Arabidopsis thaliana: one gene and its partner. The protein of the gene in region 2 interacts with the protein of the main gene of each other region in a pairwise test. Each region holds a gene or a part of one and is shown on either strand. Other genes may lie near its edges.

The links.
Region 1: the proteins of ANN6 (region 2) and FRO2 interact in a protein complementation assay, tested with the Arabidopsis thaliana proteins (one large-scale study listed by BioGRID).

Annotation. Positions count from the first base shown.
Region 1 is NC_003070.9:205,594-215,929, reverse strand, and holds FRO2 (ferric reduction oxidase 2), read right to left. Parts: upstream 6,936-10,336; 5' UTR 6,770-6,935; coding exon 6,322-6,769; intron 6,167-6,321; coding exon 6,064-6,166; intron 5,981-6,063; coding exon 5,786-5,980; intron 5,546-5,785; coding exon 5,311-5,545; intron 4,879-5,310; coding exon 4,551-4,878; intron 4,457-4,550; coding exon 4,213-4,456; intron 4,076-4,212; coding exon 3,357-4,075; intron 3,260-3,356; coding exon 3,120-3,259; 3' UTR 2,848-3,119; downstream 1-2,847. Other genes in the region: FRO1 (ferric reduction oxidase 1), read right to left, coding at 1-297, 376-613, 1,033-1,233, 1,348-1,450, 1,524-1,701; AT1G01570 (transferring glycosyl group transferase (DUF604)), read right to left, coding at 8,495-8,605, 8,687-9,238, 9,981-10,336. UniProt on the Arabidopsis thaliana protein: Flavocytochrome that transfers electrons across the plasma membrane to reduce ferric iron chelates to form soluble ferrous iron in the rhizosphere. May be involved in the delivery of iron to developing pollen grains. Also acts as a copper-chelate reductase.
Region 2 is NC_003076.8:3,204,488-3,212,594, forward strand, and holds ANN6 (annexin 6), read right to left. Parts: upstream 4,344-8,107; 5' UTR 4,298-4,343; coding exon 4,222-4,297; intron 3,540-4,221; coding exon 3,394-3,539; intron 3,319-3,393; coding exon 3,100-3,318; intron 3,009-3,099; coding exon 2,493-3,008; 3' UTR 2,381-2,492; downstream 1-2,380. Other genes in the region: AT5G10210 (nitric oxide synthase-interacting protein), read left to right, coding at 1,749-2,342; ANNAT7 (annexin 7), read right to left, coding at 5,251-5,760, 5,973-6,191, 6,289-6,434, 6,834-6,909.

The DNA of each region.
Region 1 (10,336 bases), on a different chromosome or scaffold from region 2:
GTCACAAGGAAGAACACGAGCAGAGACTAGCTTGACATTGTTGCGTGACTGGAGAAATCTCAAGAAACGATCGACGAGGAAGATGTAGAAACCGGGTAAAGGGATCAACGCATGAGAGATGCCGACGTGGAAGACGAAGAAGAGCATGAAGACGATATAGAGATAATGACTATAGAAGAAGACTTCGAACAATCTCCTCCTTATCTTAGGATATGTGGTGACCCACATCATAAGTCCAGCCACCAGAGCTATCTCTCCGGCTAAATTCGAGACAGCGGTCCTATCCCACTCCAACATCTATTTACACGAACGATTAATTAGGGCATTAATTATAGAGCAATATCGACGAATAATGTAAAAAAGAAAAAGAGTGACCTTTGAGACTAATTGATTCTTGGATATCCAATAGATAAAGTAACAAAGACCATGGCTGGTGAATATGATCATGACCAAGTGCCCCAACCATATATGGTACTTGATGCTTGACTCAGACGTAAGCCCCACTGCAGCCAGCAACGACGAGCCACGAGCCACTGGATAGAACAAGAACGCCAAGCATATGTTCCCTACTATACCTATCCGTACTGCTATTAAATCCAGCCTCGCTTGCCATCTTTTTTAGTTTTGCCATAAAACAAACACAAAAAGCCAAACTTGTTTTGTCACATAGCTTAACTAATGGTACATGTCAATGTCATTTTGCAAAAGTTGTTTATAAAAAGGACATATTGTTAAAGATATGATATGAGTGATTATGAAAATTATGGGTCAATCAATTAAAAAAACTTATAAGAAAAAATTAATTTATGAGAATTTCCCAATAAATTTAAGATGCATCATTATATCAGTGAAAAATAGAAAAGTTCATTTATACTCTTATTTTCATCATATATCTCACAATATTATCAGGAAAGAAAATATTCCCTGCAAATAGGATTGAATCTAGATTGATCACTAAATATGAAGAATTTACATATACGTACAAAATAATTATGTTCATGCACAAAACTCATTATATAAATTAAAACTTACAGGTTATTTCCGTCAGTTGCTGCTGATTCAGAAGTGACGTTGACAAACGTCCTGTACATGTAATTAGCTAAGCTCCAAAGAAGAAGAGCCATGAACATCGTCAAGAACATAACCTCAGTTACTGTCACTATTCCTAACGGTCCGTTCACTAACATTGGTCTTCTCAATGCACCAAACTTGGCTCTCTTCTTCTCCACTCCGCTTTAAATTTTACAAAAAAATGAAAATAAAATAAACTAATAAAAAGAATCTATATTAACAAAAAAAACTAAAAGCTGTTAACTAAAGAGTGAGCAGTCGTTAGCTTTTAATTACCTGTTAAATTGATTAACAGTTGTTGATTTCTTCAAGTGAAGGTAGATACATCCCAGAAAAGCCAGTAGAATCATCGGGAACATGTAAACCAAAAGATTCACTCCTATAATATAAGAAAACCATTATATGTAACGGATTCGTATAAATAATTTTAGATCTGTATCGAGTGAAATTACCTGGTCTCCCATAGTATATCGATTTGCCGAGCTTGGCACGCATAGAGGTTAACCAGATTTCCTTGTAGGTAGAAGTTGGCATCATAATCCAGATCACTATAGTCCCCATCAAAATCACCATCATCAAGAACTTAATCACCTTATCAATCACTTCCTTATTCATTTCTCCTACTCCCATGGCACCAGAGATGAACTTCCAAGAAATGAGAAGAAAAAACAAAGCGAAATGGAGTTTGCAATGAATTTTACAAAACCCATATATATGTGCTATATTTGTTTCCAGCATATATATAGAAAGATATTTTTTTCCAGCATATATATATGCTAATTACACCAATGTAATTAGTAGTTTTATGCTAAATGCAGAAAAGATCCAATAATTAAATATGTTGAGAACTTGAGATGTTTAAAGATATAGAGTATATATATAAAATAATATACTCTTATATAAAAGAAATGATATTTAAGTCATTTTTCTATGCATAATATTATTTTCTTAAAATAATAATTAAATTTATATGAAAATATGGTCTGGTGAATAAACCAATAAGAAATTATTTTATTATTATTTTAAAATAATAATATTATCCAGAGAAATTATAATTGAATCTTTTTATAATTAATTTGTGATTTACAGCTTCATTTTACTGCTGACTTACAAAACAGGCTTGACTCGTGGAAGAGTCTAGGTAAAGTGTGTAATTTCCTCATTTCACATTGAAAACGCAATTCTATAGTTTTGGGCTTAAAATTAGCAAATTCAACGGAAAGCAGAATCATTGAGTTTGTACGCCGATGCGTGTAGACGTATATTTCTATTATCTTTTCGTTTTTTTTTCTTTTTCGATTTTATTCCTTGTACTGAGTTTTGAATAATCAATTATCAAAAAATCACACGTAAATTTATGAATTTTACATTAAATTTCCTCAGAACACCAAATTTAACCATGATATTTTTTGTTAGTTACCCACTAAATTGTAGCAGAGTTACACAATAACACAGATTTTAAATAAACGGATGTATATATAGGTGAGTTCTTTAATTTGTTCTTGTACTTCCTCTTACTTAAATCGAATAATTAGTGACATGTCAATTGAAACGGTTTTTTTTTTTTATGTTCACGTAACTTCTTCTTGTCTTTTTAACCAACAATTAGGTAATTTGTGCTATCTGCAAGATAGTATTTCTGTATTTGACAGATAAATTCTGATAGATCCAAATATTAATTTACATGTAGCTCACATCTGTGTATAACCCAACTCGTTTCGAGCAAATTGACTTTTTCGTAAGTATGTTTAACTGAAAAATAGAGATAAAATCATATATATGACCCAACATGAGTATTATATTTCAACATTTACAATTTACAAAAGCTGTATGCCTTGTGTTACAAACAAAAAAAGGATATTCCGGAACTTTTGAAAGGAAGTTTTTTTTTTAACACTGAATATTCCTAGAAGAGGATAAAGAAAAACAAAAAACAGGAAAAGTCAATGTAAAGCACACAAAGATAGGTCAAATCACAGGGCCACCTTATTAACTTGCAACTCAAGCAAATTGCACAACACATAGTGAAAACAGAGTTATATACGCAATCACCAGCTGAAACTGATAGATTCAAAATGAAGATTCTCAGCCAAACCAGAGGAACATATTTCCGCAACCTTTTGTCTCATCTTCTTAGGACCACAAACAAGAACTCCCACACTCGAACCTTCCACATCAAGTAGAAGTTCTGCTCATATAAACCAACAAAAAACATAATTAGAATAACAATTCCTTATATATAAGATAGAGATAGAGAAATTAAAAGAAGGTCATGTATATATTACTCTTGAGATTAGGTCTTTCTCCAAAATGCAGATTGGTGCGTTGCACGAGCGATTCTTGTGGCGTACTTTCGATTTCTCTCAAGGAATTGTAACCCCATGATGAGGTAGGAGAAGATGTTGGAGATGGACGGTCGACGTTTTGGACCTGTTTACTTTCAACTTTACCATACTTCTTCTTGTTCCACAACATAGCCGCACTACAAGTCGCCATTATGCTCACGGAGATGACCAAGATATATATGATGGTTTTTGAAGTCAAAGAATAGATCTTGTTGGTGTTGTGGTCGATCGGGTAAATGTAATACCTAGTGATGATACCAATAATTATCATGAAGATCAAGAACGAAGATGCGAGAATTGCACCGAGCCAAAGCCATGAGTTTGGTCCGAGGATTGATGAGATGGATTGGTCTGAAAGACTTGGTTTGAACCAGAGAGTTTTGATTTTCCCAGCTTTTGCTTCATCTCCTGCATCATTATCTCGGGTTATGAAGGCTTCGATTTTGATGTTAATGTCGGAGGATAGTTCAGTCTCAAGACCGGATAATGGCAAGACAAGATCGAGCATGGAGATCTCTGAAGACTTCTTAAACGCACAAATGAGAGTTATTTTTGGGATTTTGCATGTTTCCTTTTGGCTTGTGGCGATCAAATCACGAATAACAGAGATAAACGGAGTTATCCCGCTTCCTCCGCACACCATAACCAAAGCTTCATGCCTAGAAAGCAAAAAAAAAAAAAAGTATGAAATCAATGTTTCTTGAAATGCAAGTCAATCAAGTTTCCAGGACTCTTAACAAATCTGAATATAAAGTTATTAGATAGGTGATTGAGAAAGTGTATATAAACAAATCACCTTAAGAAATCGGCGGAAGCAGGGCCGTAAGGACCTTCTACAGAAACAGCAAGTCGGTCGATCTGATCAGAAGAAGAAAGCCTCTGGTGAAGCTTAGTTGACCATTTGCCTTCTTTCTTGATAACAATACTTAGCTTCTCTGGTTCGAGTTTGCTACTGGAAGTTATCGTAAACGGATGCCATTGCAGCTTTGAAATGCTCGGTATGTTCACAAACATTATGCTCGTCGGGCTATAAACCAACTCTATAAAACAAAAAGAATAGTTTAGAATTAGATCAATATCCAGTAAGGGTGAACTTTTCATATACAATTAGCCAATTGGACAAAAGGTACTCACTAGAGTTTTTGGAGAAAGTGAGCTCCATAGTGTCGGAAGGAAGAATCCGAGCAGCGAGCAAGCGAACATTTTCACGTGACTGAAGAAACCGAAGGAAACGATCGACTAAGAAGATGTAGAAACCAGGGAGAGCGATGAAGGAGAAACTTATGCCGACGTGGAGGACAAAGAAGAGCATGAAGACGATGTAGAGATAGTGAGTGTAGAAGAAGACTTCGAAGAATCTTCTCCTTATCTTCGGATATGTGGTGGCCCACATCACAAGTCCGGCCGCCAGAGCTATCTCTCCGGCCAAATTTGAGACACCTTTCGTATCCCACATGATCATCTGCCATTAATTTATTCCACGTCAGATTATAATATACTATACCGTTTAAATTACGATTCTTGTACCCCTAGTATGAAGCTATCACATTAAATAATTTATTGGAGTACGAGTCGTCAATTTTGGAGTACACGATTTTTTAAAAGAGAAAAGGAACATTTATCCAAATAATTACCACCTTAAAATGCGTGATTCGATAATTTTCTTTTCGGTGCAACAAAATTAATAGCGATATCTACACTACACTTGTATGCCATACGAAGACCCAAAATGATAAATTTGACCGCATTCCTTGGTATGGAAGCTGCTCCATTCAGAGTGACTACTTTAAAGTCGTTGACTTTTTCATAGGGCCCACTAGTGGACTATTTTAGGCCACATATAATATACGTACCGCTTTAAAATCTTCGATAAAACAAAAAACAAAAATAATACCTGGGAGATTTCATGCATTGAGGCCCAGTAAATTATGTAACAAAGACCATGAACGGTGAAAAGGGCCATGACCATGTGGCCGAGCCATATATGGTATTTGATGCTTGACTCCGAGGTTAATCCCATTGCCGGTAGCAACGATGACCCACGAGCCACCGGTAAGAACAAGAACGCCAAACATATGTTTCCGATCAGTCCTAACCTTAGCGCCGCTGATTCCAGCTTCGCTTGCCACCTTAATTCATATGTGATCAACCGATTAACTATGTTAAGTATTTTACAAAGAAAATTGTTCCTTTTTATTAATAATTTGTCAGGAGATTTTAAAAAGAAATCAAGCACAGAATCTACTGTTGATGGACTGATTAATTAATCTTGAAGTATATGAACCTGATCCATAATTTCGACTAACAAAGCGAAATTAGTGGACTAATTATATATTTTAGACGGCGAAAGAAGAAAAAGAAAAGCTTACAAAGATTCGTCATGTGCGGCAGCTGATTTAGGAGTGATAGTGGCGAAGCTATTGCGCAAATAAGTGATAAAGCACCAGAGAAGAAGAGCCACAAACATCGCCAAGAAGGTGATCTCAGTCACTGAGACTATTCCTAATGGCCCCTTCACTAACATTGGCTTTCTTAGTTTACTCCACACTCCTCCCTTCGTCTCCCTTTTTCCGATTAAGAGCAACAAGTTGTAATCAAAGAAAGTGATGCAGTTTATATACCTAAAAGTTGACTGATTAATTTGTACCTATCGATATGGTGTGGCGACTTTCGATTCTTGAAGTGAAGATAGACACATCCCAAACAAGCTACGACCATCATTGGGAACATATACATGAAAAGCGTCGTCCCTGCCGTGCAAACCAAGAAAAATGAATTTTAGTATTTTATTTTAAATCAAATTGCGTGGGCTGATGAAAAAAAGATGCGTTAAAATTTGGAAACTATTGCGTCAACATGATTTATGATTCAGTTAAAAAATGGGAATTATTGATCATTCAGTTACCTGTGGCACCAAAATAAGTGGATGTTCCAAACTTGATACGCAGATGTGGCAACCACTTGGTTCGATAGGTTAGTGTTGGCATCATGATCCAAAGCATGATGGTTCCAAGGAAAATCACCATCATCAAGAACTTAGTCACTCCCTTAATCATATCCTTAAATTCTTCTCCTGCAGATGGGTTCGAACCACCGTTATTGCTTTTTTCGATCTCCATCCTCTCTTTCCTCTCAGGATTTCTATCTCTCTCTCTCTCGCTCGCTAAAGATATTAAGATCGGTACGATCGCTTTAGTGAGAAGGATCGAGTTAGCTTGTTTTGAGGGAAGTAGTGGTAGAGAAAGTGTATATATAAAGAGAGAATTTTGAGTGGGAATTGGATGAAGTAAGCTAGTTGCATGCTCCATGCATGTGACTCTTCCCCATGGATCTTGTTTTTTGTTTTCTTTCATTATTTTACATCTATTTGTTGTTGTTTTGGCGAGATGACGTTAAAAAACTGGTATAAAAGAATATACGATTTGATTAGCAAAATACATTTATCGATATTTGAATATACTATGTGTATAAATCACTTTAAGTTTAACGAAAGTTTATGAATTTATGGTAACAATATTTTGGAAGCCAATTTTTTTTTTTTTTTTGCTGGATTCAACTAGTTTCAAATTTGTATTGAACAGCGTTAACCAAATTGCATTACTGCGCACTACTCACGTAACTCACCTAACATAATCTTTTGCGTTTAGAAAATACTCATAAGTAGTGAGATGTCAACTAGCTAGTTCTGGTAATGATAATTACTTTTTTTTTTAAATTATTAATACAAAATATTATATATACCTAATCAATCTAGATATTCCTGTACGTGTACTCTCAATGTCAAACGGTTAAGTATTCAGGGATGGGGATATGTTTACGATTTCTGATTTTTTTTTGTTTACTCTGAAAAAGTAGGAATTTGAAGTTTACAGCATGTATGATTATTAAAATACATTTTGACTTGAGAAAGAGGCCAAGGACCATGCTGCCTTCTCTTGCTCATAGGCTCATAGCGTGTACTTGATAATTAACTATTCTAATTGGTATTAATCGGATAAAACATGTCCAACTACATTCTAAACATAATACTATAATAGTTAACTTAAAGAGGTTATTGGTGGTGTACTTTATAATTTATAAGGATTTTTTTTTTGAATATAGAATTTATTAACTTTAAAATCAAACATATAGAATTTACCTATAATATTTAAAGCATTTGTCCAAAAAAAAAATTACTTTCACATTTAAGCTTTTGCATTATTAGTTTGAAAACTGATTGACATTTGTTAAAATTTCAATCAAAGATGAATTAAAATCCGTGTAAAAAACCATATAAAATTAAATAAAATATTGAGTAACGCTAACATATTAAATTTAGATATCATTAAACAAACAACATATTGTTTTATATAAATAAAATAAAATCATTATTCAATATCAAATTCAAGCCAATAAAATTCCCTAACATTAGCAACAAGAGTCATACAAAATATATTCCTATTAATGACGCAATAATAATTAAAACGCTTGCTCTAAGACAAAGAAAAAGCGACGACGTACGGGTTGAAGAAGATATGAGACCTCCCAAATTGGATGGTTGTAAGGAATCTGGTTCGTGTTCGGTTTTGGTAGGTTCGCCGGTTCGTGACCGTATTACGTACGTGTGTAAAATACACGTGTCAGATGTCGGCTTATGTGTGTCAGTGTCGCCTCCGTCTACGAAATCTCACGCGTGTCAACAAAATATGTCAATTTTAAAGCCAACGAGGAAAAGATGAATCAGGCCCATTCCCATTCATCTTCTTTCTTCCTCATCATCATTACATTCATCACACTTAAGTTTTGACTTTACATGTTTATATTTTTTTTTTTGTTTTATTCGATAATGTACATTCGGTCCTTTTAGCATCGAATATATTTACATTTTAAATCGTCAATATATTAATGGGCTAAGCCCACTACCCCAAAACATCTTTCGGCTATAATAAACTCATTAATAATAGTCCTCCTAGAGGTCAATAAAGATTAAAAAAAGTTTTAAGAAATAATTTACAAGCTCGAAATTGCTGTTAAAACATAAGCTCGAAATTTCAAAAATACGATTGGTAACAAGAAAACGCTATAAAAGATAAATAATTCTATTTGACAAGGAATTCAGCAAATTCATCATCTTTACAAGCTCCTACATCGATTACCATAGTCCCATTCTTCGTCGTGGGCAATACTCTACAACAATCTCTTCTCGGAGCCTGAAATTATCACCACAAAATTATGAATCAATAAAACTTATAGAGAAACAAAACTTAAAAATGATAACATTGTTTACTTACCCTATGTTTATTCCATCTATCCGGGTCGGGTTTCTTATAAACAATGACCCGTTCAAATTCCGAAGGATCCGACATATCCCAGTCACATTCAGGCTCCCACATGTCGTACCATCTCACGTATTCACTAGCAGTTCTACGCAAAGCCAAGTCAGGAAGCGCGTTGGACAGGTAATACACTCGCGGACGCTGACACGCGCTTTTGGCGATAGGACGCGTGTTAAAAGCATAGCTTCTTTCGTCTGCCTGTTTGTACCAATCGATGAACGTGCGCGTGGGGATCACCATCTCTCTAGCTGACAACACGCCACGTATGATCTGGACTGTGTATCCCCACGAGACAGACACGGTCCATCGGTGGTCCGCGTCGTAGCAGATTGATTGCTGCGCGAGGCTCGGTGAGTCGAGTTTTGCGGGGACCATGAAACGTCTCATGGCGTTGACTCGGCCCATGTTTGGGAATACTGGATCCACTAAGTCTAAATGGTGGATCGATACTAGAGGAGCCAGTGGATGGGCCGATAATAGGCCCAGAAGTTTCCCGTATAAATCAATCTGATACAACAACACAAAATCAAAACAATAATTGTCGAGGATGATTTTCTAATAAGCGATAGGTATAGATCGAGAAAATAGTGGGGGACACAGATTTCAAAAATCGATGTATATTGGATACTTAATAGTTTGATTTATGTTTAGATTTCGGTTAGGATGTGTTCCTAGATCTATCATAGGAATAACAAACTGAATAATGTGAATGCACGGAGGAATGTAAGAGTAACACGTACGAAAACTACTAACGACATATTTGACTTGAGTGTACAATCCCAATGACTTATGTGAACCTAAGATCTATGTGAGTGCCGAGATTATCGCCATACAAAATATACATTTTACTAAAATTACATAAATGTTTTCAGTTTTATTATGATGTGTTATATACATAAGTCTTAATAAAACAAAAAAAAACAAAAAATCAGAATGCACTAATAAAATAAATGATTTGTAATGGCTTTTGCATTTGGTATCTACTAGAAGATATGAGTGAGTTAATGAAAAATATGGAAGTTTGATTAAAGACTTTGCCTAAAATAATAATAAATGCATTTTTAAGTTATTCTGTTTCCTAAACAAAACCTAGCTAAGATCTTGACCCTTCAAACATTAAAATAAAAACACTCTATGAAAACTGAAATAAAACTTAAGTTTTCACCCAAAAAAAGGACAATGTAGGAAAAATCTTCAAATGGAAATTAAATTTAATTGAAGGAAAATAAAATAAAAACAGAGGACTAACCTGATGGAAGCCAACTTCCTTAGTCAAAGGAACACCGAGTTCCGACATACAAGCATGAATCCGATCATCGGAGCCGTACAATTCCGAATATCTCTGAATACAACGATCTTGCATTTTCTCTAATGCTTTAGCCAACGGATAGCTAATCGCGAACCCTCCTCCTCCATAAGCCATCCCGTAAGAGAACTTGAGATTCTGTATATGACTCTCCGACGAGCTTCCGATGTAATAAAACTGATTGTGATCGTACTTTCTCAAAACCTTGACAAGATTCTCCGGGAAAAACACAGTGTCGTCGTCTCCCATCACAATCCACCTCACGTTTTTCTCCAACTCTGTTCCGTTCAACAGCCTCA
Region 2 (8,107 bases):
TTTTTTTTTTTTTTTTCGTTTCTTTATTTAGTTTTGTGTGATTGTAGGATTTGTGGTAAAATTTTATCCATTTTGAAGGAGTAAAGAAGAAAGGAACAATTGTTTTGTTTTTTCAGTGATTTTATTTATTTTTATTTTGTGGTGTATTTATTCAGAGACAAAGAGGAGTTCCAATTTGTAAAAAAATATTTTTTCCTTATATTAAGAAATGATTTGTGATTGAGAGAGATATTTTTTTTTGGGGGTCAATGATTGGCCGAGATTGTAGATTAAAAAACATTTTAAATGGATATTCGCACGTTAGCTAATACAGTAATAAAAAATTTGTACAAAGATAGAGAATTTTTGTGGGTCTTAGCTTATTGGATTGCGATATTGTAAAGTAAAAGTTTTGAAAAATGGAAGATCTGCATTTAGTCCACCGAGGATCATATGCATAGTCGATATTGACACAAGAGTGAAATTTGATTGGAGGAAAGAGGATATGTACCAAGCCACTATTTACCTTTTTTTTACGTCAGGCTCTTGAGATGATCTTCTTAGTTTTGATGTCTTTTTGCAAATTGCAGTGACGTTTTCTAAATTGGTACACTAAGTTTAAAAATGCTGTCCTTTGGATAACTCCAACGGATGATATGAACTAAAACAATGCTGTCCTTTCATATTATGTAAGAAAACACTCACTCGGTTAACTATGAGCAACCCACTACAAGTAAGTATTGTAAAAACGTTTTTTTCTTTCAAATTCCAAGTATTTTTTAAATTTTGTAATAGAAAATAATGATTTGGGTTTTGTAAGTTAGTATTAGGATTTAGATTTTTTTAAATAGTAACGAAAGTGTTTGATAAAAAAGTAAATAGTAACGAAAGTAACCTAAATTGACATTTCCATTACCCTTGAGATGATCAAAATAAACACAATTTCTGCATGATTATGAGTTTATGACTATGCTTATTAGCAATGATTTGTTCTTTCTATAATTTAAAACCAGTTGAAACTAAAATTGTTTTTGTAAAATTTAATAGATGATATTATTAGTATACAAAACTTTTGTCAACAATGAATTGTGTGATAAGAGTTTTTTTGGAGATTTTCTTATGTAATAAAGTCTATCTTGTATGACTACAATTGATCATGGGATTCGTGGCTAATATTTTTTGTAATTATATCTTTTGAGTCAAATTCCATACTCATTTTAATATATGCAATCGAATGTATCTACTAATAATTTGTTCTTATTTAATTTGATTCTGTTGACTCTGTTCCAAAACAACTTTCGGCTATTGGATGTGTCCACGCGAAATGTAATATAATAATGATCAAGTCTTCAAAATGGCACACCTTAATTTCTTTTTGCAAATTATAAAAATTCTTTATATGGTGATCCTACGTATCTATCTAATTATCTCCCAAAACTATGGGCAAGAGTCATTATTAAAATCGACCCTTGGTCTTTTGAGATGCTCAAGAGTTTTAATTTCTAAAATATTAAGCCTTCACTAACATGATTAGAAAAAAATAAAAAGTTAAAAACATGATTAGAAATTTAGAATATTTTAATAAGTACAATGTGGAAATCTAGTGTAAACTTTCCTCGAACATTCCCCATAGATTTATATAAATAGCTAGTGAGAATTTGTTCATGCACATATTCATCACAAAGGAACTCACTGCTCTTAAATTTGCTCTAATTGTTATTACCTTGGTAAATAATATATTCTTGGTTCGATTCGAAATTTTCAAGCAAATGGGTATCGTTGAAAACATTCGTTCCCTTAAATTTGAAGTGAAAATCGTGGAAGCTAGAAACGTAGAGCTCAAGTCATCGCCAACCACTCTCTTCGTTAGGTTCTATCTCCATGCAGGGAATAACAGTAAGATTGAACTAAACACTCCAGAGATCCGTTCGAGATCAGACTGTGAGGTCATTTCCTGGAACCAATCATTCGGTCTGGAGTGCCAAGGGAACGAAACCGCGGTCGAGGAATTGAAGCAACAAAGTGTTGTTTTCGAACTACGGAGAAGGAAAACGACGCCGTTTTTGAAGAAGTGGTCGAAATCAGAGTTGGTGGGTAGAGGAAAGATTTTTTGGAAATCGGTTATAGAGACTGATGGGATGGAAATAGAGAGATTTGTAGTGATGGATGAGACAAAAGATCACGTTCTGGAAGATTGTGATAAGCATAAACCTCTTTTGTTGAAGATAGCTTTAAAAGTGCAAGCTTCAAAAATCGTGAACACTAAGAGAGTGGAAGATCTTTGTGAGTGTAAAGATTGTAGAACATGTAACTGCGTAGATTATGAAGCTTTTGTTGTAGCTTGTGCGTTAGCTGGGATTTAGTTTGTAAGAATAAAATTTAAAGAAGAGATGATTCAAAGAAACCAGAATAAGTTGTTGCAGTAAAATGTAAAAACTAAGGACCAAAGTTCAAAGAAAATGAAAAACAAATAACAACTGTCTTATAAAAGACTATGAAACGATGATGTTGTTTCAAGCATGGTCATGTCCAAGAAGGGCGAGAAGCATATCCTTGTAGTCACCAGAAGTGTCATTAGCAATGGCTCGATCAAGAGGAACACTGTTCCTGCGTAAGTATTCTTCTTTGATCCGCTCCAGGTCGACCTCTGCTCTTGTAGTGACCACTCTAGTAAGTGCCCACTCGTCTGTTCCCATCCTGTTGATGGCTCGACGTAGAACCTTCTCAAAGTACTTCTCTGGATATGTCAAGCATTTGATCGCGGTTTTGAGTAATTGAACATAATCATCGTTCGAATCTTCTTTGAGAAACTTGTTAATGGAACTTCCAAACTTGTCCTTGAAGTGATTGAGTGTTGCATTGATCTGTGCTTTGCTCCTTGTTGTCAAGATTCTGATGAGATCTTCATCAGTGTAAGCCTTCTCAGTGATCTTCTTGTGAAGTGTCTTAGCTTCGGATCTAGCCAGCTTCACGTTGACCTCATCAGCATTTCCATCGTACCTGAAGGTGCTCACAAGAGGAACCAATAGCTGCATTTTTACAAGTGGTCAAAACAAAACAACATATCATCAGAAACTTACTAATTGGTTTAAAGAATGATATACATAAATCTTTCACTACCTTTCGGATATTTCCAGATGTATGGTATGCAACATCTTCCTCGAGAGAGGTCTTGTAGCGAACATGGTATGCTTGCTTGGTCTTGAAAAACTCAAGAGAAGGTCTAGTACAAGCGATTTCAACTAGGACCCAAATGTTTTTGGTGAACAATTTGGTAGATTCATTGGCCAAATACGCATCTCTCTCCGTTGGATCAAGAGTCCACAACATCACAACTCTCTGTTTTCAAGCAAAGTAAGATGTTCAAAATAAGATGAAGAAATATAGATTTTGTATCTTTTAGTTTTGACAAACCTCAAAGTCACCAGAAAGCTCTCCGTCTAATTCCTTGAGAAGATCCTTATTGTAGTTAGCAGCATAAACGGCACGAATGAAACTGCGTTGCGTTGCGTTTCTATGAGCCAAAATTGATATGATCATCCCTTCATTAGTTCCCCATCCTGCGCCACACAAAAACAAATTTCAAACCCAAGTTTAGTCAGATAGAGAGTATGTAACAAAACCTAACTAAACCAAACCAAAATTTTACGACAGTTAGAAATTAACTGTAAATATACAAGAAAGCTGATGTTCGCTAGTAGAAAAAAAACCAAGCTTGAAAAAATCTTAGAAGATTATTAGAATTTTTTTTTTGGGTTTAAATCTGAATAAAAAAATTGTTACGAAAGCAACAAGTTAATCTGTTTAAAAGAGTTGTCTAATCGTCGATTACAAACCAAACGGTCAGGAAACGCTCCAACATAAAATCAATTGCATCCAAAATCAGCAAAAGAGTAAATAATATGTCACACAATTTTGCACCGTAACAAAAGAATCATGCAATGGAGTATAACCACAAAACTTCACGAAGTTAAGACTTCCTAAGAATCATTTGAAAAACGAAATAAAAAAGAGCTAACTTATCATCCACTTCTTAAAATTAAACCTATATACGTGTCATCAACCAAACCAGCAAGCTAGATCAGTAGATCAGACCTGTCATGATAATAGATTGAACTATTGATAATCAACCCAATTAAATAATATCAAAATGCAAATGATTCAATCAAAGCATGAATGTGAAGGCCTAGTATTTAACTTTTACTAAATCAATCTAACAATGAAGGGATGGATCATGAAAACCTTTGAATGCCTTGTGGAGCTGCTCGGAGTCTTCTTCGGGAAGAGGAATATTTGCTGGAATTTTGAGAGACGCCATTCTCCGACCACTGAATATTTCTCTAGCTCTCTAGATGAGACGAAGAAAATGTGGGACGAGGAACATGCACACTGTCTTAAATAATGAAATGATATCCCAATTTTTTATATTTTATTAATTATTTTTGTTAAAAATTAGATTTAGCAATCTATGTAAATCAGTAAAAGAGGAAAAAATTATTAATACAGGCTGTCTACAGTGGATAGAATTGATAAAACAAGTATAATGTTTTGCATTTTTTTGTCATAAAGCTGAATATTAAATGGAAATTGCACATTTTCTTAAATAATGAACTGAAATCTCAAATTTTGTTAATTATTAATCAATTTTGTTTTAAAATAGACTTAACAATTTAAGTAAATTAGTAAAATGAGAGATTTTATTAATACAATTACAGGCTGTATACAGTGAACAGAAATGAAAAAACAAGAATCATGTTTTGGGTTTTTGTCATAAAGCTGGATTTTAAATGCACTTTAAACAGCTTAAATATGGGATTACATAGGTACCGAAATTTAACTTTTAATTTATTTATTTTTTCTGTTATATAATACACGCATATTCCTTAATTAATTTCATTATTTGGATATTTCATTATTTGGACATGGATTATAACACATGGCGGACAAAACATTAGAACCAATATTGTTCATTTTAACAAGATGTATTAAGTATGGGTTTAGCTTTAATTTTAAAACCATATAATTAAGGGGAAAATTATAACTCATTAGTTTATACTAAATTAATTATAAATAGATCAATAATAATTTTTGATATGGTTTTATAATTTTTAGATTTAAAAAAAAAAATAACTGAAAACATCGACGACAAATGAAACTGAAGACACTAAATTCTTAACATGACCAAGTTGCAAGTCCAACCACAACTGTTTTATTAAACACAAAGCGATAAAATTTAGTTTTTTTTCTTAAACAAAACTTGCAAATGTTATTTCAAGCATGGTCATGTCCGAGAAGAGCGAGAAGTATATCCTCATAGTCACCATGAGTGTCTTTAGCAATGGCTCGATCAAGAGGAACACTGTTTCTACGTATATATTCCTCTTTGATCCGTTCCATGTCAAACTCTGCTCGTGTAGTGACCACTCTCGTTAGTCCCCACTCATCTGTTCCCAATTTGTTGATGGCTTGACGTAGAACTTTCTCAAAATACTTCTCTGGATATGTCAAGCATTTGATCACGGCTTTGAGCAATTGAATGTATTCGTTTTCCGAATCCTCCTTTAGGTATTTGCTCATGGAAGTTCCGAAATTGTTTTTGTAGTGATTGAGAGTTGCGCTGATTTGTGCTTTGCTCCTGGTTGTCAAGATTCTTATGAGATCATCATCAGCATAAGCCTTTTCCTTGATCTTCTCGTGAAGTATCTTAGCCTCGGACCTAGCTAACGTCATGTTCACTTCATCTCCATCGTACCTAAAAGTGCTCACAAGAGGTACCAAGAGCTGCATAAACAAAAACATATGTCACAAATTTATATGCATTCTTGACATAGTTATACGAACTGAGTTTGTTAGCTAGGAATCTTAATTACATCAATAAACATATGAGATTTCATCTAGTATACAAAATAGATGAACTAGATACATTTGATTTTATTGGATATCTCAGATGGAATTAAGCTCATGAAACTTTCACATAATTAATTATATAATACCTTTCGAATGTCTCCAGATGTGTGGTATGCGACGTCTTCCTCGAGGGAGGTCTTGTAGCGGGCTTGGTATGCTTGCTTGGCATTAAAGAGTTCAAGAGCAGATCTAGTACAAGCGATTTCGACAAGAACCCAATTGTTTTTGGTGAACATTTTGGTAGATTCTTTTGCCAAATAAGCATCTCTCTCCGCTGGTTCAAAAGTCCACAACATCACAGCTCGCTGTTTTGTTTACAAAAAAAGAAAACATAGTTAAACAGATCAGTAGACTAAAACCAAAAGAAGACGAATATATAAAGATGTTGTCTCAAATTAAAACCTCAAAGTCACCGGAAAGCTCTCTGTCTAATTCCTTGAGAAGATCCTTATTGTAGTTAGCAGCATAAACGGCACGAATGAAACTACGTTGCGTTGCATTTCTGTGAGCCAAGATTGATATGATCATCCTCTCATTGGTTCCCCATCCTGCATTAGACAAATTCACAATTACATTAAAGAAAAATAGAGTCAGAATCATGTTTGAAATCATTCATCAGTATTAGATTGAAAAAGATATATAATTCTAGTAAAATTTATCTCGTTTCATCAATTTTTGAAAGGTCTATTAAATACTAATAGATTATTTTTGATGATAGGAGTAATTTTAACCAAATTAAATAAATCCATACCATAAACCAAACTAGATCTATATACTATATAGATCAACGAATATATACAGACACATGATCGATCAGATAAGAGGGTATAGTTGAAATAGATTACGCTATGACCAACCAAACTGATAGAGGATTCAATCGAAGAAGGCGAATGCTAGACTAGTTATAACCAAAAGATTAATGAAGGGGTATAGAGAAGGACATAAACCTTTAAAGGCTTTGTAGAGTTGCTCAGCGTCTTCTTCGGGAAGAGGAACAGTGGCGGGAACTTTGAGAGAAGCCATTTTTCGAACAAGTGAAATTTCTGTATGTTCTTGTTTTTTGTTGTCTAGATGATGAGGTAGATAGAGCTCGTGTTGTCTTACTTAAATAATGAGATGGCAATTAAAGTTTCAATAAAAAAGTTTTTGTATAAAGATGTATTTTGATAAAGAGACTTAGTAATTTTTAATGAATTAAATGAATGGAAAAGGTAGTAAATCAACTGAAAATATTATTGAATAGTAAATTTGTTGACTATATAAGTGAAGTATTAAAAGCCTATCTATTTTAGTTAAAAGGAAAGAAATCAAGATAGCTGGCAGAAAATGAATTTAATTAAGTTGAATAAATTTCAAGGGAAGTATTTATATATATAGAGTGGGACAGAAACTTATGATTTTGATTGTGAATGACACGTTTGAGTTTGGCCTTGACATATGAAGAGTATACACAACTTTTTTTTTTTTTACTTTTATAATTATGTTTAGTGGATATCTATGATTTATATTTATTAACATAATATTGTTGTTTTAATTTTTTTTTTGGAAAAAAACTTTGATTAGATTTTTTTAAAAATTTGATTACTCAATAATTAATTATTTTAAGCTATATATTAAATAGACCTTTAAAGGTCCATGTGACAAGTTTATAATTATAGGAATTTTCCGGAGACAAAACAAGATTTTCATTGCTTATGTCATTTGTTCTTGTTTAACTCCAAGAATCACGTGGTTAGTGCTAAGCTTAACGTTTAAGGAGCAGTTATTTTATTGGCAACCAAATACTGATTATCGACTAATTAAAAGAATCGTAACGTCAAATATCTAATTGGTGTAGTTTATATGTTATAAAATATGTTATGGATAAACAACCCACAAGAAAGTTATAAGAATTGTAATGAATTTCAAATTTTCATTAGACCGTAAAAACAGATCTGGCGCGAAAAAAATTAAAAGGAAGATTAAATAAAAGAACAACGACTCTGCTGGGGATCGAACCCAGAATCTCTGGTTTCGTAGACCAGCGCCTTATCCATTGGGCCACAGAGTCCTTGTGATGATAGTAGAACACTTAAACAATATAACTTTAATAGAAAGGTACTATTCCCACAATAGCCAACGCCAGTTTTCTTCTATAAAGATCCGTTTAATTTGCATGAACCAACCTAAACCTTCTTCTCTGTATCGTTTCAATTCCAATTACAGTGTACTTTGAAGTTTG